Linked DNA regions of Oreochromis niloticus. The protein of the gene in region 3 binds, or shares a complex with, the protein of the main gene of each other region. Links are inferred from orthologs where the notes say so. Each region holds a gene or a part of one and is shown on either strand. Other genes may lie near its edges.

Region 1 (3,754 bases), on a different chromosome or scaffold from region 3:
CACCCCCGAGTGACATTTTAGAGACTAAACAGCATGCAAATAATTTACAGATAACTTGAGTCAAATCCATCTCCACAGTTTGGACTGATTAAATTATACATACAGTGTTGAACATCAGGTTGTTACGGCATTTTTGCTAGTTAAGCATGCGTGTTTAAGATTGAAACACCAATCAGACAAAACCAGACACTAGCGTCTTTATACACTCACTGGAAAATTTGGAAGACAAGCCTTTTCAACTTCTACAGATATTTAAACAGCCACGGTAGCAACTCAGTGCATTTAGGCATGGTCACGATGTCACGCTGAAGATCAAACCAAGAATCAAAACGATGAAGAAAAGTTACTTTTAAAGTGGCATATCATGTAGGCTGGTCTGAGTATTTCAGAAAGTGCTGATCTACTTGGATTTTACCACACAACTATCTCCAGGGTTTACAGAGAAAAAGAGAAAATATCCAGCGAGCGTCAGTCCAGAGGTCATAGGAGAATAGCCAGAATGCTTCAGTAACTCCAATAACCGCTTGTTATAAACAAGGTATCAGAAGAGCATCTTTGAACGTGCAACACATCAAACACTGAAGCAGGCATCCTACAACAGCAGAAGACCACACTGGGGGCGACACTCCTGTCACCTAAAACCAGGAAGGCTAAAATTCACATACTCACTAAAACTGAATAATAGTAGATTAGGAAAATGTTGCCTGGTCTGATGTGTCTTGATTTCTGCTGCTGCTGGGTTAACTTTGTGAGGATATTTTCTTTGCACACTTTGGAATCTTTAGTACCAGCCGAAAGTCAATTAAAACTAACAGCCTACCCCACTACTATTGCTGACTGCTATGTCCAACTCTTTATGACCACATGTAGCCATCATCTGAAGGTTGCTTCCAGCAAGATAACAGCATGTCACAAAGCTCAAAACATCTCAAGCTGGTTCCTTTAACACGACAATGAATTCACAGACACCAGATTTCAATCCAACATAGCACCTTTATGATGTGATGGATCAGGATACTAAGAGTGACCGGGAGTGTATACAAATATACCAAAGGCATTGTAAGAAGTCATTATATGAGGTGATCTCTCGTCTGACCATAAATGCAACTCTCTTGTCTGTATGTATGCAATGCACATGTGCATGTTCATGTAGTGGACGGAGCACCTGAATCGGCAGGTCACAGAGCAAAGGATCCTGCACGAGTCGAGCAAGTCCTTCCTCGAAAATATCCAAGATTTCTGAATGAGGAAGAGCGTCCTCATCTTCCTCCTCTCCGCCTTGAGCTGCCGTATCTGTCACATCTTCCTCTTTTACCTCTTCTTCATCCTTCACCGATTGTCCTCCTCCTTCTGCAGCTCCAGCAGCAGCAGCGGTACACGCTCTCTGCTCCTCCTCCATCACCGCCAGCTGCTAAATTTACTCAGTAGGCAAGCAGCTTAACAGGCAGTTTATCGACTTAATTTATAACTTAGGGGAAAATATACTTTTTAATGGAAACTAATTTAACTGGAAGCCTGTGGAAGTAAGTGCGTCCGTCACAAATAATAACCGGGCGAGGAAATGGGGCTCAGAAAACATGGTTCCGCTTAATGATCCCTTGTTTCTCACCGAACTCTCAATGTGGGTGCATCTCATTTTCTCTCCTTCTCTTCCGGTGCTCCACACGCAGCAGTGTTTACAGCTGAGTCCACAGAGTGCTAGTGTTGTTTAATAGTTCAAAAACTAACAGGGTTTTGTTTTTTAAGTGCGTGATAACATGCTTCTGTTCTGTCCAACCTGCGGGAACGTGTTAATCGTCGAGGAAGGGCAGAAGTGCATGAGATTCGCGTGTAACACCTGTCCCTACGTACATAACATCACACGAAAGGTAAGTAACGACGAAATACTCACATCTTACATTAAGGTTAGCGTGGCTTCTGAGAGCCTCACGTTATCTGTTTAAACCCCTGTAGGTAAATAACAGGAAGTATCCGAAGTTAAAGGAGGTGGATGATGTTCTGGGTGGAGCTGCTGCGTGGGAAAACGTGGACTCAACACCTGGTGAGTGCCATTAAAATAGTTCATGGTGTGGTCTATCCATCTGTTTATAATCGCAAAATTAACTGGCTGAAGAAATATTGGATTTTTTTTTTTAATTAGTTTGAGAGTGAAGTTGTGTCTATCGTCCTGCACTCCTGCTCAAAACATTAATGTCTGCAGTGCCTTTGAGTGGTTTGTAATACAGTTTTTGACAACTGGATATAGGCTTGTTAGCTCAATGTGATTGCTGACAACAAGTATTGTGGGGTCAAAACTCTAAACACACACTTTCATGTCAAAATTAAACTCTTTAAAAGAAGAACTTTTTAAAACAAAGTCATCCAGCCAGCCATCTTCTTCCACTTATCCGTGATTTGTGTGAGCAAGCGTGTGTTTGGATCAACTCACTTTATCAGATTGAAACAAAAACTTTCCACCTGACCATGGACAGATTTTCCTTTAAAACACTGAGGGGAAAGATGCACTTCTGGACTGTTGTTAGCATCCAAGTATTCCCATGGATGACAGTAGGGATGTATTTTGTTGTGCCATTTAAAAATGTAATTATTTAGAAAACTACTTGAGCTGGGTCCTTCAGTTTTTCGTTATTTTAGGGTAAATATCTATTAACACTGTCAATATGGATTGTCAAATGTGTAGCTCAAGTTAACAGTCATGTGAAAAACAGAGTTTTCATGTGCAATACTGTGAAAAACAAAATACATTCTTAATTAAGAGGGTGAGTCCCTGCCAGCTGCTGCTACCTTAACGTTTGGGCACAATGTTGTCACTGTGTTAAACACAAACTCCTCTGTATATAAATATTCTAGAGTTAAATGTGAGGCTGTCTATCTGACAGATGGTTAAAATTGCATCATTCAACAGCACAATGACCCCAAGCACACCACCAAATTACAACAGAATGGCTGAAAAACAAATTGGGGTATTGCAATATCCCCGCCCAATAAAAACCTAACTCTACAGATAGATTAAAGCTCTTTAAATGAAAGACAGCTGTAGCTTTTGAACTATCCAGCTTGGAGACCTATTACAGAGAATAGGATGTCTTGGTCCGCCCTTGATGACATCAATGTGAAAGTCTTCTCCATCAATTCTCTGGAACTAGATATTTTTTCTAATTTCTGATAACCAGGTGGAGTTTGTCAATGGTATGATGACTGAGTCACATTTTAGGGAGCCAGCATATGCTAGAGACCTCTACTGAATAAAAATGCATTTTATACAAACTTTTAATTACAGTGTTTGTCTTTTCTGAGGATGGTAATTTATATGGCATTTTTGTGTTGGCTTGTTTGTTTTAATCATTAGTGAGGTGGCTTTTATACTTCTTGACCGCTGCTGTCTTTGTTAATTTAGGAAGGTTTAGTCTATTATAATGGATACCAGGGATGGAAGAGCTGAAATGAATGTGGGGTTGTTAAAAGTGTGAGAAAAGGTGTGTCTTTGCATCATTACATTGCCGGACTGCACCCCCTTCAGGGTAGGACAGGTAAACAACAACCTCTCTTGCAGGTTCTCCTGAGCTGCTGGTGAAGCTTTCTGGCCAATTAATGTTTAATAAATTGGTGACTGGATTTGGGGGAGGGGGGGTGTATGAATTTTGCAGCTGGTCCACAGCTGTATGCTGGCTCCCTGTATAGGCCCTCAGTCATGAAAAGCTTAGCCTCGTAAAGTTGTGTCAGCACCACTGGTATTTATGATTCAGGATATTAT
Region 2 (3,754 bases), on a different chromosome or scaffold from region 3:
AAGCCCATTTCAAGATTGTCGTTCTGACGTTTAGAGCTCATCATGGACTAGAACCAGGTTACATCAGTGAACATTTTACAGCTATATGACCCCAGCAAGTCCCTTAGGTCTTATTCTAAAGGTGCTATATAAATGAAATTGTACGTACTTAGTTACGCAAACAAAGATGAGTTAAAGCCAAGAGACTCACGTTGTCTCGTTCCAGCTTGCGCAGGATCTCTTTGGTCTCCTCCTCGGTCTCTCGCTTTTCCTTTTTGATATTAATGATGGGCGAGGGTCCCATGCTTGGAGCGTCTCTCTCGCTTTCATAGCCGCCTGTGTGTGTGGGTGACACAGAATTATGCTCGTTCGATAGAGACTCTGTAAGACACACACGTAAACGATGCGTAAGGAGCACCGGGTCTCCCACCTCTCTTTTTCATCATCATCTCTCCGGGTCCCTGTTCAAAAATGGAGTGCGACTGGATGAGTTCTTGATGGCCTCGGCCCCTGCCTCTCATTCTGGGACCCCGACCTCGATCCGTTTCCTTCCTCTCTCTCCTCTGCCCATCTTCAACTTTTGTTCTAGTGTGAGAAAATAACAGTCAAAGAAACAGCTGGCTTTGGATGTCTGTACTTTATTTATTTAGCGCTTTGGGAACTTACTCTTCTTTAACTTTTCGGCCAATAATGTTGGGTGTAAATGTTTTCTAAAGAGTAAAAAGAAGAACGATAAATGCAAGAGATGAGATAACAAATGTATTCATTTAAAGTTTCCATTTGCGCTTTTTTTGTTGTTGTTGTTGTTAAATGAAGCGAGTGAGTTAGTGAAACAGAGACATATCAGACCTTCTTCACTCCTCCTAATGTGAGGTCTCTGGATCGCATCGTGGGGAGGCGGCCAGGAGAGATGCCAGCTGACGGGCGACGGCTCATCAGGAGTCCTTTGCTACCGCTCCCTCCAGGAGTCGGCACACGACCACTGGGGTCGCCTGAACCTGCGTCCGACATCCTGAATTGGGGCAAAAGCAGGGGATCGACCAAGGGATGGATATTACAAATACTAACATTGTTTCTTATAACATTCTCATATTTATACATAACACACATTTCAACAGTCAGCATGCCGATTGCCAAGGGTTACAGTCCTGTATCAGACTACCAATCACAGTATGTAGACATGGCCAAATTGGCCTTGCAAGGCTACTTACTGCTACTGCCTATTGATTATTTATGTATGAACATTTTTACATTGGTACTTATGCCTCTTAGCACATTTTAAACTCTACTTCCACGAAGACTGGAAATGGTAAGTAGAATAGGTCTTGAAAATGATACATATAGATATATTTAACTAAATTATTCTCTCTGTTATGATTAAAGGACAGGACATGTGAGAATCTCCACAGTTTTGCTGTATTTGAATTAAACTAGCTACTGATTTTATTTAATGGTACAGCTTGCCCCATTGGCCCAATGCAGCATGAAAGCTGAAATAGAATTTTCTTAAATTTTTTTAATTAAAAACTTAATGTTAAAAAGTATTAAATGTTTATATTATATAGTATTATATGTTTAAATATGACTTCAGATTTTAAAGGGTGAATATAGACACATATTAAGTATTTCTTACTCTACTACCACATCCTGCTCTATAAGACCGCAGAACATACTGTTGACATGATTGATTCATGTAGTATTTACTTATTAATTTCGTTGTAATATACATTATCTTTTAATCTGAACACAGACAAAAATGTAAATCTGAGCTTCTACTTTTTTGTTTTTACTAAAGTAGCGCTTATAACACTGTGACATAAATTACTGACAAGTTATTGTATCACTATAAACAGAGATCCTGCAGACACATTTTTATTTTTAGAAATGATTTTACAAGACAACCTCAGCAACACGTGGCCACATTCCAGTGAAATACAACGACACAGGACACTTTGTTTTAACTCTCAGGATGAACTTTTAACAGGCTGTGCTTTCTCGCCTACTTACGTTATTGTCCCTCTGACGTCCTTATGAAATATTAATCCAAAACCCCAGAGTCATTACAGTTTCTACCAGTGCTGTGTGGGACACTGCATGACAGTGTTGATGATTCTGCAGCACGGCGCCATGACACTTCCGCATTTGTCACCGTCCACTCAGTTCACTTGGATCAAACCTGCGCAGAAACATGCGCATGTTCACCACGAAACTCAATAGACCGGCATACATTAATACATTTAGATCGACTTATGTATGTATGTGAAAAATGTTATTTTACCGACATATAAATATGCTTTGTTATGCAACACAGCAGTAGCTACTCACCGATGCTCATAATCATAAGTAAACGGAAGAGGCCGTTGTTCGCTTCAATGCGCAGATGTGAGTAGGTCAAACACAGCTTAATCACTATATTACACTTTGAAATTTATTAGGATCCCTTAATAATCTCATAATATAATACTGTTCTAGTTAATTGAACTTCATTTTAGGCAGCAGGGTGTGAAAAGGTTCTCCTGACCTGTAATTGTGTAAATACATAATATAGAATGTATAATATAGAAGATGCAGAGAAGGATGAGAGAAATACGAAGCAGGAAAGGACAAACTAATTATACCAAATTGAAAATTTGGTATTTGGTCCATGCAAAAGTCTTGACACACCCCTCATTTCTTTATATTTTGTTTCCAAGAAGTCAGACTTTCTGCTAATTTTTAAGTAGTCTTGAGCAACAGTTCCCTGGGCTTTCTGAAGGTGATTCAAAGCTTTTCTTTGGAGATCTGCTGCTTTCTGGTTCATTTTCATTTCGGTTTGTCTGTTATTTGTAGCCACAACACTTGAACCACTGTTGTGTATACACATAACAGACCAGTTAGCAAATAATCGTGTTTCATTTGGCATGAAATTTTAAATTGTGTCTTTAGGTACTTTGTTACTAGTTCCTGTTTCTTTTGTTGAATCTACAAAATATGCCAAACGCAACACAGTTTGACAAACATAAAATACTATTACTGGGAGTCAGCAAAGTGGTTCCCAAAGAAGTATAAGGTCATATCTGGCATATCTTAACATGGTGTCCTTAAAAAAATTGAGCAAACTGGACAAGTGAAGGGCTGAAGAAGTAAGATAAGGTAAGATAAGATAAGATAAGATAAGATAAGATAAGACAAGATAAGATAAGCTTTATTAGCCCCACACATGGGCAATTTGTTGTGTCACAGCAGAAAGTCGACAGTGCAAAGTTACAGTAGCAAAAATTAAGAAAAACACTGGAATAGGATAAGATAATAAGAATAAGATACTATATGCAATAGAATAAAATACTATGTTGACAGAAAAAAGAGAATTGCACTTAGTATTATTATGTGCTGAGAATAATCCATCTATTCAGAGAAAATGCCAAGTTGCTAATAAAACTTTTTATGGAGTTTGTTCATAATTTGGTGGACACAGATTCTCCCAGTATGTGGACTGAACATGTGTGTAATACATTATTCTGGGAGCATCCGCTTATGTAAATGTAGTAATAGTATATTCCTCCTAGGGGTGCCACAGATTTTTGGTACCCCCGGTCGAACAGTGCCTGGTCCCTTTGATAAGGGAAGGACCTCTCGGCAAATACTTGAATGAGACTAGAATAAATTTACAATATTTGTTTTAAAAACACAACTCAAATATGCCAATTTGTAAGCATAATTGAAATATAAGAGACATTCTGAACACCATAACATGGGGCCAAATTCTGCTTTCTCTACACGCACACCTACCGCTCTC
Region 3 (3,754 bases):
GCCAGTTTCATGAATGATTGTTCTTAAATTTTGTGCTCCACTTTTGAGCAGGTGTGTTCCCACTTTCTCAACCACCTCTCCAAAGTGCTCCTGCAGCAAAAGACCACACAGGCGCACTTCTTGGGCTGTCATCTGCACAAACAAAAGAACAGGAACACACAGGTGATGAAAGGTCTAAAATCTAGGATAGCTGTAAGTAACTATTTATAGCAGTACAAAAACAGTATTCCAGTATTCCTCTATATTCCTTTAATATAGTGTCATTTTTCTTAACACCTGGATGTAATAAAGCTCAAATTAGAATCATGTCAGGATACAAGAGATCTGTAATTTAAGGTTAAATAAGTTGCGCCTACAAAAACTAAACTCTTATCTCTGTAAAGACTAACACATTTCTACAGAGAAGTAAATGCTTTTTATGCAATGTGTGAAATATATTTTTATTATGACGGAGGTGGACTGCTGTTGCTATGTGCAAATCACTGGTTGCTATGTGTTCATATATGAAGATGTACAAAAAAACCATCAATAATAATTTGTGTTCCCTTACAAGAAGGTGCAAACAATTTATGGTTTCTATCTACAAGCACACAAGGGAATATATTTCAAAAGGGGAGAATTAAAAAAGGAATGCTAAAATAAGCAATGTAGGATGTGTCTCTAACAATGGACTTCTCACACACTTGAATCACGTGCATCACTTTTTTTTTAACTCCTTCTATACTACCTTCAGACTCAGAGACTCTGAAGCACAACTGAAACTGAAAAACCTTTTCTAACAACAAAAACAACAAAAAAATGATTAAGAATCAACAAAGACTTGGATCTATAAGCAAAGTCTGTGTCACTGCCATCAGCAAATTCGTACCATACTCATCCCTAGCACAGCTAGACAACCCTGGGTTGAGCCTATCCCAACTGTTCCAGCACCATGCAACCCTGAATTGGATAAGTGGTTTAAAGAAGTAGATGGACGGACTGTACAACACGTTTCTCCAGAATGTCACTACTTCATTCAGTACTTTATTGCTTTTATTTTTTTAGTTTTATTTGAATTTTTTAATTTAACTTATTTTAGTTTTAGTGTATATATGTTGATGATTTACTTACTTTCTTTCCAAACTCCCATCAATAATCTAACTCAGCCTTTGTAACAATAGTTACCTCTGTACATCTCTCACACTCAATAGTACCACCATCCTTGCTCACACCCAGGTTACGTCCTCCATCAACATCTTTAACTCCCTTCTCAAATCCATCCAGAACTTCCATTTGTTTCATCATGCCAGTACTTCAGAGGTTTCACTGGCTCACAGTTAAATGTCCTATTGATTACATAACACCACTCTGCAGTATCCCTCTGAACTTCTGCACATCAACACACTCATCCAAAATCCCAGATTTTCTCCTGGTCTCCATCTCATCGCCCTTTTCACCTGTTTGACTACCATGAGGCCTAGAGGCTTCAGTTGCTCTGTTACTCTGTTACTCGCCTCTGGACTTGCATCCCACCAGAAATCCATAACACTGACTCTCTCCATTTTCAAATCTCGTCTCAAAACTGGCATATTCACTCTGTCTTCCACCTATCATATTAAACCTGATTTAACATAATGTATATTCTTTTATTAACTTGATCGATATTTTCTTATTTTTATAGTTTTTCAAGTCTTCGGCGTAAAATAACCTTGAATGTTTTGAAAAGCGCCTAAAATCAAACGTATTACTGTTATTATTACTGTCTGTCTCTCCACACCTCCCTACTGATTTGTCACAACAAGAGCAGGCACACACAATGAACACAAAACAATGACTGTTTTATTTTTCACATTATGTCCAGATATTTCGATAGTAACCACATTATTTTTTGGTCGCAATAAAATAGTTACAATCTGACAACAGAACTGGCATTATTTAGGCTAAAAGTTGTACTGCACATTACTAAAGAGAAACAACAACTTTCCACTTAGATTTAAGCGACTGCAAACCTCACTTATATTTAAAGGATTGTTACTGAATTTCTAAGCACATGTGTAAATGGCATACTGTGCAGAAGCTTCTTTGTCGAGCACAGAAAAGATAGTTTTGTCTAACTCCAAGTTAACCCTGTGAGCTGTGCATGCTAAGCTAACTAAAAAGCTAACATTTACAGCTGACCATCTGAGTTCTTTAACACTTTAAACAAACCTTTTCAGTTGAGAAGTTTCTGAACACACACTGCTTTTATTCACCATCACCTGCAGTAAACACTTCACGTGCGACTTCTCGATGTCAACACACGAACACGTTTCCTTCCGCTCCTCGGTGAGCTGGGACTCCGGCCAGCGGCGCCGCGGTGCATGCTGGGCTGGAGGTGGACGGCTGCCTTCGGTTTGTGGAGGACCGACGTCAGTGTTTGTGCTGCTCTGGGGAAGATGGCGGAGGCTGCGGCTGTTCCCCCGCATCGGTTTTTCTGTCACTGTTGTAAAGGGGAAGTAAACCCCAAACTCCCGGTAAGCAGGAGGCTTTTCTTGTTTATCTGTCAGACTCTTTTAGAATACGTCCGGCTGACAGCTCTGCCTCGCCGCTAACGGCCATTTGTTCCGCTTGCTTTCTCGCTACAGCTAAAAACCAGCTAGCCTGTTAGCAGTTAGCGGCGTCTGCTGTTGTTAACTCACTAAAATAAACTCCAGCTACGAGCCCCGTCAAAGGAAAGGGGTGGAAAAAAACTGACATTAAAAGCAAATATCGACAGGTTTTGTTAGACTTTTCTAGACGTTTCTGTCAAAGCAGTGTACTCGAAGCTCTGCTTTGACAGTTCGGGGGATGTTGTGTTTTTCCTCAAAACAACAAGGACTTGTCGAAAACATTTGCGTTACTGCTGCCTTTGTTCAGTGCTTCAGACTTAACTTTAGTTGCCTGACAGCTGGTTAGTTTTTAATTTCCGATAAAAACGCAGTGTTGACAGGACGAGTTGGGGGATTTTTGGAAACATAGTTAAACATGTCGTATTCAGTTTCAGTTTTGAAGTTAAAAGTAGAAGCTAAACTCTGGACGCAGAGCTGACCCAAATCGTGACATACTTACTAACTTTAATTGGTTTTAAACATGTTATCCACGTCTTAAATATTATGGGGTGTGTTTGTATTCGTTTGTTACAAGTTTATAAAATACACCAACCTAAAATTAACCTACTCCAATACAAGCTTATGGTCAGCTGTAGCTTTCTCACAGTTCTCAGTGGCACTGTTTATTACTGTGGTGTTTTGTTGTGTTTTGTAGCTGAAATCTCAGACGACCCCCCCCCCAAAAAAAAACAATTGCTGGTTTTCATAGTCCTTTATGAAAGTATTTTTTGTTTGGACAAAAACAATGTGAAGACATTTTGAGGAATCTTATACTGACAACGGACAAATTCTGCCCTGTTTAAAAATTTTTTTTACAATATTCACAATGAACTGTTCACTGGTTTTATATCACCACTAGAGTCACATTAATCTTTTATTTTTATGATCCAGCTGAGGGTAGTTCCAGTCCTCCTTGTCATTGACTCTAAAGTGTCCCAGGCACAGTCAGTCCTATGGCATGTCTTCACTGAGCCAAGTGACTGCAACACCTAAGATTGTCGACCTGTGCTACTACAGTACAGCCCAGACACCGGTCCTCAGTCATCTGTCCGTTTTATACAACAAACTGGATAATCTGTGAGGTTGTCCAATTTGACACTAAACTGATACAACCTGTTTTGCTCACGGCAAAGTTTCTAAACACGTTT

The links. Proteins that work in one complex are often made in the same cells at the same time.
Region 1: polr3c (region 3) and polr3k share a complex: the UniProt entries of both Homo sapiens proteins name them as parts of the RNA polymerase III complex. The link is inferred for Oreochromis niloticus from reciprocal best matches to the Homo sapiens genes POLR3C and POLR3K.
Region 2: polr3c (region 3) and polr3d share a complex: the UniProt entries of both Homo sapiens proteins name them as parts of the RNA polymerase III complex. The link is inferred for Oreochromis niloticus from reciprocal best matches to the Homo sapiens genes POLR3C and POLR3D.

Annotation. Positions count from the first base shown.
Region 1 is NC_031969.2:24,519,694-24,523,447, reverse strand, and holds the start of polr3k (DNA-directed RNA polymerase III subunit RPC10), read left to right. Parts: upstream 1-1,607; 5' UTR 1,608-1,757; coding exon 1,758-1,868; intron 1,869-1,953; coding exon 1,954-2,041; intron 2,042-3,754. Other genes in the region: snrnp25 (U11/U12 small nuclear ribonucleoprotein 25 kDa protein), read right to left, coding at 1,166-1,399. UniProt on the Homo sapiens protein: Core component of RNA polymerase III (Pol III) which synthesizes small non-coding RNAs using the four ribonucleoside triphosphates as substrates. Can mediate Pol I proofreading of the nascent RNA transcript.
Region 2 is NC_031977.2:13,081,646-13,085,399, reverse strand, and holds the start of polr3d (DNA-directed RNA polymerase III subunit RPC4), read right to left. Parts: upstream 2,140-3,754; 5' UTR 1,987-2,139; intron 992-1,986; 5' UTR 991-991; coding exon 829-990; intron 690-828; coding exon 646-689; intron 565-645; coding exon 410-564; intron 316-409; coding exon 191-315; intron 1-190. UniProt on the Homo sapiens protein: DNA-dependent RNA polymerase catalyzes the transcription of DNA into RNA using the four ribonucleoside triphosphates as substrates.
Region 3 is NC_031976.2:21,380,181-21,383,934, reverse strand, and holds the start of polr3c (DNA-directed RNA polymerase III subunit RPC3), read right to left. Parts: upstream 2,327-3,754; 5' UTR 2,188-2,326; intron 133-2,187; coding exon 1-132. Other genes in the region: rnf115a (E3 ubiquitin-protein ligase RNF115), read left to right, coding at 2,340-2,492. UniProt on the Homo sapiens protein: DNA-dependent RNA polymerase catalyzes the transcription of DNA into RNA using the four ribonucleoside triphosphates as substrates.